Coturnix japonica: one gene and its partner. The protein of the gene in region 1 binds, or shares a complex with, the protein of each later gene. Links are inferred from orthologs where the notes say so. Each region holds a gene or a part of one and is shown in the gene's direction. Other genes may lie near its edges. The genes, in order: STRIP2 and PDCD10.

What was found.
Region 2: STRIP2 (region 1) and PDCD10 share a complex: the UniProt entries of both Homo sapiens proteins name them as parts of the core of STRIPAK complex. The link is inferred for Coturnix japonica from reciprocal best matches to the Homo sapiens genes STRIP2 and PDCD10.

The regions. Positions count from the first base shown.
Region 1 is NC_029516.1:802,783-806,591, forward strand, and holds part of STRIP2 (striatin-interacting protein 2), read left to right. Parts: coding exon 1-18; intron 19-571; coding exon 572-669; intron 670-856; coding exon 857-983; intron 984-2,120; coding exon 2,121-2,221; intron 2,222-2,751; coding exon 2,752-2,818; intron 2,819-3,809. UniProt on the Homo sapiens protein: Plays a role in the regulation of cell morphology and cytoskeletal organization. Required in the control of cell shape. Calmodulin-binding scaffolding protein which is the center of the striatin-interacting phosphatase and kinase (STRIPAK) complexes.
Region 2 is NC_029524.1:18,270,653-18,275,129, forward strand, and holds the start of PDCD10 (programmed cell death protein 10), read left to right. Parts: upstream 1-1,514; 5' UTR 1,515-1,664; exon of another isoform or gene 1,665-1,707; intron 1,708-4,477. UniProt on the Homo sapiens protein: Promotes cell proliferation. Modulates apoptotic pathways. Increases mitogen-activated protein kinase activity and STK26 activity. Important for cell migration, and for normal structure and assembly of the Golgi complex.

The DNA.
Region 1 (3,809 bases):
AATCTCCCCCAGTATATGGTAAGCCTGTGTTCCTTAGAAATGAAATAGGGTCTGTGGGTGTTAGGGATCTGAACGTTGGGATTTCGGTGGGAATCCAGAGCAGAGCTGGGTGGAAAGTCATCTCCAAGAGGAGGGTTCCAGAGGATCGAGGAGGTCAGATACCCAGAGGCATGGTCCAGTGTTTGGAGATAGGACAGTGGGACATCCCTTTCAGCTTTCCCACCGACTCAAGAGATTCCCACACACTACAATTCACAAATTCAGCTCTTTTAAGATGCATTTTGGGCCACCTACAGTCTGTCTGCAGGGAGAGGCAAACATTTAAATGCAATAAGCTGCAGCGCTGTTTTATCCATACCACTAGAGCTCAGTGCATCAACTTAATACAAAAGCTGAGCTGCCCTGCTGCCTGCAGTTGAGTACAAAAGGAGAGCTGAGCATTGGCACAGCTGGCCCATCACCATGAGTGAACCTTGGGCTGGTGGAAACTTCTAGAGCTGGCTTGAAGTTGTCTAGTCTCAAGGAAAAGGAAGGGATTCGCCCTTTGCCTCCACACCTGCCTCCTCTGCAGATCGCTCTGCTGAAGATCCTCCTTGCTGCAGCGCCCACCTCCAAGGCCAAAACTGACTCCATCAACATCCTGGCAGACGTCTTGCCTGAGGAGATGCCGTAAGTCCTGAAGGAGATACCTCCAGCTGTTCCAGCCTTGGACCAAGTGGGAAAGTTGGGAGTTGCAAATAGGTTAAGGGAGCCCCAAATGTGGGCATGGGGCTGCAGATGTGGGGTCCAAGGGATGTGGGTCAGTGATGGTCCCATCAGGTTGATGGTTAGCCTTGATCTTCCCTCACCATGCCAGCATCACTGTCCTGCAGAGCATGAAGTTGGGGATTGATGTGAACAGGCACAAGGAGATTATTGTGAAGAGCATCTCGGCTCTACTGCTGCTGCTCCTCAAGCACTTCAAGCTGAACCACATCTACCAGGTGAGCACTGAGAAGGGGTCACGGTTGGTGCTCGTGGGGCTGGTGCATCCTTACTGGAGCTCTCCAGGAAATGTTTCCAAGAGGAGCAGTGGATTGTAGGGATGAACCCTGGCTCTGGGACATGTTTTTTAGAGCATTACTCATGCAGGAATAACCTGCCTGCAATATATCTTTGGCTGTTTGTTGACAGGGTGGTTTCCACTCATGTGGAAAGAGCTCTCTGACTTGTGGATGAACACATGCTGTGGTTAATCAGGTTAGAATTCCAGAGATCTCAGCAGAGGGAGCCTCTCCTGGCAGCCGGGGTGGGGAGGAGTTAGGCAGGATTCCTCCTGCTGTGCCCAACTTCCACACGAGCAGTGGGGCTAGGCAGGACTCGTGAGGTCCTCAGCAGGGTAGAGCTCTCAGGGCTCTGGCCTCAGTAGAACCAGCTCAGGGTCCTAGATGCAGTTTGATTTGTGTTAAACAATTAGTGGGCATTTTTCTTTTTCTCTTTCCCTTTCTTTCCCTTTCTTTCCCTTTCTTTCCCTTTCTTTCCCTTTCTTTCCCTTTCTTTCCCTTTCTTTCCCTTTCTTTCCCTTTCTTTTCTTTCCCTTTCTTTCCCTTTCTTTTCCTTTCTTTTCTTCCCTTATCTTTCCCTTTCTTTCCCTTTCTTTCCCTTTCTTTCCCTTTCTTTCTTTTCCTTATCTGTTCTTTTTGCTGATCTGTGCAAATGGGTTGAAGGAGCTGCTTGGGCAAGGGGATTGGAGTAGATGATCTCTAGAGGTCCCTTCCAGCCCCTGCAATTCTGTGAACTGTAGAAGCCAGAATGGAAGTTACCCTATATCCTTTGTAGTAGTCAGTCTCCTCCTTTTCCTTCCATATTTAATGTTTTCCCCCAGTTTTTACCTTGAAAAGCGACCTGCATTCACTGGGTGCACCTCTTCTAGAGTCTTGCCATGAAATTCTGTGTGTCAACACACTTTTCCAGATGCTGGGAGTTGTTGTATGTGATGCAAGCCTCACACAGCAGACTTGTGCACAAGGAAGATGGTCTGCCAGGTTCAGAGCAAACCATCCAAACTGGAAATGGAAATTCCCAGCACACGCTTCCAGTTGTTCCTGTTGACGCTGACCCATTTCGCTTCTCTCCCCCAGTTTGAGTATGTGTCCCAGCATTTGGTGTTTGCCAACTGCATCCCGCTGATCCTGAAGTTCTTCAACCAAAACATCATGTCCTATATCACTGCCAAAAACAGGTACAGCCACGCATGCGATGGCCAGTGATGCTGCAGTGGGAAATACAGCACGATGCTCAAGCAAGGGCAAAGTGTGGCACTGAATCCTCTCCATGCCAGATGCTTTCCAAAAAGAAACCAAACCCCACTTATATGTATTAATAAAATGTATGTCTAAAGTACATTTTATTATTATACACACATACACATATATTATATATGTGTACGTTTGAGGGTTTTTTGGTTGGCTACTTTTAGAAAGGCAGTAGACACAGAAGGCTTGGAAACTTTGGGCAAGACTCAACGCCCTTGCCATGCATTATCTTGCTGGTAATATTCTTGCTGTCAGATATTTCCATTTTAACCTAAAATCTGCTTTTCGTATGAGTTTTTGTTTTTAATATACACACAAATAACTGATCTGCCATGTCCTAATGGATCCACCTCCTCCAAACCCCCACTAATGCATGCCTGGGAGCAGGGAGGGCTCTGCTCGTTAGGCTCACATGCCGATTGTCCTTAATGAGTCTCTTCTTTCCCATCTTCCACAGCATCTCTGTCCTGGATTACCCGCACTGTACAGTCCACGAGTTGCCTGAGCTCACTGCAGAAAGCCTAGTAAGTGAAGCAGAGCACTTGTAACAGTATTGCTTTATGCAGGTGGGTGAGGAAGGACTTTTCTTTCATTTTTTCTGTGTCTTCAGCCCCAAAATAGACTTTTTCCTGTAGAAGGGCTTGAAAATTTATCTCACTGCTGCTGCTAAAATTTCGAGCCTATGTCGTTTTCCTTGGCTGTGAACACGTTGCAATCAGAAATAAAGGGAAAGGCTTTCTGTGGTTTTGATGAGCCAAAGTTGGCCCGATGGGGACATCTAGTGACACATCGTTGGGAGCTCTAGTGGCACACAGTGGTCTTTTTCTCCTTTTATCCTTGTTTCCTTTTTTCCTTTCCCTCTTTTCCTTTTTCCCCCTTCCCTTGCTTCCCTTCTTTATCTTTCTCTCTTTCCCTTTTCATTTTTTCATTTTCTTTTTACTTTTTCCCCTTTTTTCTTTTCTCTTTCTTCCTTCCTTTCTCCCTTTCCCTTTCTCCTTCTCCCTTTTCCCTTGTCTTTTTTTTCCTTCTCCCTTTTTCCTTTTCCTTTTCACCCTTCCTTTTCCTTTTCCTTCCCTTCCCTTTCCTTTTCCTTTCTTTTCTTTCCCTTTCTTTTTTCTTCTTTTCTTCCTTCATTTCTTCTCCTCCCTTTTTCTTTCTTCACCTCCCTCTTTTATTGATTGCTAACTCCATTTCTATAAAAATCCAGTGCCTATTTACAGAAATCAAACACACACTGCTTCACTGCTTCTTCAGTGACATTAGTGCACGTAGTTGTGTTTCTTTTCTTCAGCCAATATTTATGCTGTCTTTTGTTTGTTTTAACTCTGTTGCACTGATTTAACATCACAGCCATATCACATTTCCTGGCAGATGTAATAGATGATAATGCTTTCAGGGGGCTGCACGCAGGATGTGCTTGGTTTGCTTCTGTGGAAAACTAGGACACGCTCAGCAGTGCTGTTTCCAGAGCAGGGACTGTGGGAACTGCTGCTGTACAGGAATAAATACAGGATA
Region 2 (4,477 bases), on another chromosome or scaffold:
AGTGGTTCAGGCTTTGATTCAACAGTCACCATACAGATACATAAGTGAGAAAGCATACTAAAGACCTTGGAGTAGCTAGAGCTTGGTGCAAAGGATCCTACCAGCACCATCTCCTCTCCACTGCTCCATTTAGTAACAAAACAAAAGTTGAATTAAGAGGTAAGTAAACATATGACATTGACATATATAGAATAACTGTTGGGAGTTATTACAATGATGGAACACTCAGACACTCCTGGAGCTCTGCTGGACTGCCTGAACACAGGTCAAAGAGCATATTAAGTAAATCTAGGAAAGCATCATTAAGCATTACTTATGCTGTGACTTAAAGTAAAATACTAGCACCAGTAGGACTGCAGCTTCCTAACATCACTTTACAACCACTAAGGAATGACAATATCATAGATGCATATGCACCTCAACCCATGCTATAATGCTTCTGTGTCTGTCACACAAACTAAATAGCAAGGCTTTCTGCTGGATTAAAGCACTGATCGCATCAAAATAATTGAGGAATCAAAGACAAATACTCCGCATACACAGTAAAGCATGACAAATCTAGTAGTTGTTTTCTAGCATCCTTCCTTACCTACATGCAGATGGTGGGCACTGGTAGCATGTATGGGTAGCACACACAAGGGCTCTGCTCCCACACATATATCAGTATCTTCCCATTTCACCACCTCGGCGCTGCAAGGAGATGCAGCTGGCATTCAGGAGCACCGCGATGCACCGATTCATCACCTGCTTACAGCAAAACCCGCATACGCCTCACCAAAGTAATAACAGTACCAGGAAAAGTTGCAAGCTAACGCATTAGAAACGAAGGCTCAAACCTAGAACTGAGCTGCGTATTGATGGGAATTCATATTGGTTACTAAGAGCTTCACCTTAAAGCTTTCCAATAACTGCGAGCACCAAAAGTAACGCGACCGTTGTCAAACAGCCCATATAGGGGACACCTACAGGGCAACACAAGCCAAGAGATAGAGAGGAGAGAGGCAGCAGCTCAGCACAAGGCTGGGGCAGCTTCGTTCTGCCACGCTCAAACCACGGCTGGGACAGAGCTTCAGGAGACCACAGAATAGCATAAAACACACTCAGGTGGACAGGCTGCAGGTGCCGGGACAGCAGGACGCCACATTATTATTGCTCTCTTCCTTCCCCATTCTCTCCCCACATCACCCACCACCTCCCCTCAGGCACTGACACACAACCCGCACTACGGAGCCACGCAGCTTCACACCGACATCAAACCGCAGGCTGCTCCCGCAACCCTAAACACAGCACCGGCTGAACACAGCAGGCTAAAGGCACTTACCACAGCAGCAGCTCAACACCACCCCCCTCCACTGTGAGAAGTGCAGCCGCTGCTCCCCGCGCCGGGATATGCCACCGCGCCCCGTCCAGGCCTCGCCCACCCGTCCAGATTCGAGCTCTGATTGAATAGACTCTACTCCTATACTCCTCCTCATTCCCTCCTACCCGCCCCTTTTATCGCCTCGTTGCATTGTTGGTGTTGTAGTTGAGGAGAGAGGACTACGAATCCCAAGTATCCGAGCGGCTGCCGGTTAGTTCCGGACAACGCCTGGTGTGTGGTAACACGGCGGACGCTTCCTCCTTGTTGGGTTTCCGGCGAGGTGGAGGAGCCCCCTCGGAGCTCGGTGAGCTTTGCGGGGCGGAGAGGTATCGAGGTAAGGCGGTGAGGTGAGAGAGGCTTCGTTTTCTTCTCTAGGCCCATGTCTTTAAAGGGATAAGCGCCTGGAGAGACACAGAGGAAGAGGGTGGGGGTCACCGGTGTAAGGCCTGGGTTTCCTTTTGGGGTTGTGCTATGTTAGAAGCGTTAAACTGTCTCAGGTTTGAGGCTGGGTGAGGGGAGAAACGTTGTTTGCTGCAGGTGTGAGGCCTCGGCCTTTTTCTTCCTACCGCGGGGTGACCTGGCCCAAGGGCTCGTCCTTGTTTCCGCCCTTCCCGCTCGGATCCCTCCTGGTAGGGCCGGGTACCAACCCCCGTCCGCAGCCCTATGGCTGTTCTTGGCAGCGTTAGGCCTGCGTTGTATTTTTAGCCCGGCCTCGTACTGCTGAACGGCGTTGTCAGGGCTGGGCCTGGTTCGCTCCAGGTGGGGCCTTTCGTCTGGGGGAGGATAGAAAGTGATCACGTCGTGCTTCCTCTTTAAACCAAGCTTTAGGCTGGTGTTGTTAAACACCTTAGTGTGCTGTTATATGATTAATGAGTGGCGAGTGTGTGGCCTTCCTGGGGCTTGTCCATATAGGGGGCACAGGTTTGCTGCTGAAGCCTTGAGGCAGGTGGATGTGTTCTTGTTATCAGAGGAACTGATTGCTGAGTGCTGGTTGTTTACCCATTGGGATGTGTTATTGTGTTTGGAGCTGTTTCTGTTTGTGGTTTATCTGTTAGTGGTTGATAGGGCAATGAGAACTGAGTAGTTTTACTTTCAAATTCCCTTGGAAGAGGAAAAGAGCTTGAAAGAGAAACAGGGATGTGTTGTGTTATTCTGTATTGGAGAGGCTTCTTTGTGGCCTTCTAGTACTTAAAAAGAGACATGTTAACAAAAGAGAAATGAACTTTGTCTGCGTGTCAGTAGTGATAGTACAAGAGAGAGATGAAATTAGGGCCTAGTCCAGGCATCTTTTGTTTTTCATGTGATAGGCAGACACAAAACCAAAGTATTAGGGTGTACTAAATAATTTCTATTCTGAACTTCAGACAACAGATTTATTGAAAGCCAGATTTCAGAGTATTTTGAAGTAACCGTCTAAAAATAGGCTTCTTGAATTTACTGCAAGTTTGTGCAACTTAGTCACCCAAATTGGCTTCACAATAATAAAATGCACAAGCAGTTATACTCTGTCAGAGTGAACTCATCTGGAAGTGGCTGTGATAGATGTGCATGCAGGTATTTGAGGAGTACATGTTTGCTCTACTAAGAGGCATTTAAAGATGCCTATTAAACTTGAGTGCTGTTTTCTGATAGTATTCCTTTTGTTATCTCTTTTGGGAAGGTGCTGAATGTAAGCATTAGCTTAATACAGAACCTGTACAGTAGGCTGCTTCTTTAGGTTTCTTGTTGTCTTTATTAGTTTTAGAATACAGAGGTTGTTATCATCATAGCTGCACTTGACACCAATTTCAGTGAATTCAACCATCCTGTCCCCAGCTCTAATAAGAGAAGTAGCTCAGTATTTGAGGCACAGAGGCTTTCAGCTTTGTACTATGCAGTCAAAGTTATACAAGAGGAGTGGTTATGATCTACGAATGGAAGTACTATGTAGGTAACTTCTCTCCGGAAGGGGGGAACTTGTGCTTTTTTTTCCAGTTTATTATGAGCAACCATTAACAAGAGAAACTTAAAGGTACCAAGTTGTGCACAGGGTAGGTACACTGTTAGAACTGCATATTAGCCATGTACTTGGGCTTTACAAATAAAGGCCAAGGTCTTTGCCTCTGAATTTGGGACAGGCCTCAAGTTAAGTGTTTGTTTTTATCCCGTTCTTTCTTACTAAGCTTAAGTTTTTCTGATGGCAAAGATCTTAGTGGATTTTCTCTTAACACAACCTTCTTGAATCCTCCCTACAAGAAGTGGAGTGGAACTTCTTGTTAGTGGGGATAATCTTTCTAGGAGGAGCAGAGCTGTAACTTCTGGTTCTGTCCTAAAAACCAGTCATTGAATTAATCATGCAGGTAGATCAATGCCTCAGGCCTTCTTCCACTTGGTACTTCGCTTAAAAAGAAGGAGCAGGCTTAAAAAGAAATAGCACAAACGTTTGGCTGCTTTAAGATTATCTACATCTGAGGTAAATGGAGCCTGGAGAATGGAATGGAGACAGCACCAGTGGTGTAGGTAGGTGACGTAGCTGAGGAGTGAAATTCTGCCATCTGGAACTTCATGTTTCCATTGTTTTCCAACTTCTTTCAAGTTCCAAGCATAACACTCTGTCTTCTCTTTAAACATGCTTTCAAAAGGTAGTATGAAGCAAAATACTTTCTTTCATAGACAAGTAGATTGTTTTCACACTGACCAGTGAGCAAAGGTGGATTTGGGAAAGTTTCTGCCCTTCCTGGTTCTTCTGCCACTTGACTTTTAAGTGCCTGTCAGAAAATAGCATAGATGAGAAAAGCAAGTTTGTGTCTTGGGCACTGGTAACAGTAGCTGTACATTTTGGGAAAGTGTGGAGTTTCTTGCTTTTCATCTTCCTGCTTTACAAGAAGTTTATCTGAATGTAGGGTGTTGTGTTGTTTTTTCCTTTCAGGCAGTTCCATTGAATGATTGAAAACCTCATTGGGTGGATTTGGAGGAATAGATCTATAACATAACATTGAAATTCATCTTAAGTGTGCTGGTTCTGTGATTACTGAATAGTTGGGCTAGTCTTTTGGTGCTGAAACATTGAAGGTTATAACATATAAGATTTATATGGACAGTGAAAGTAGATTCTGTATTAGTTATTCTCTGGGAATA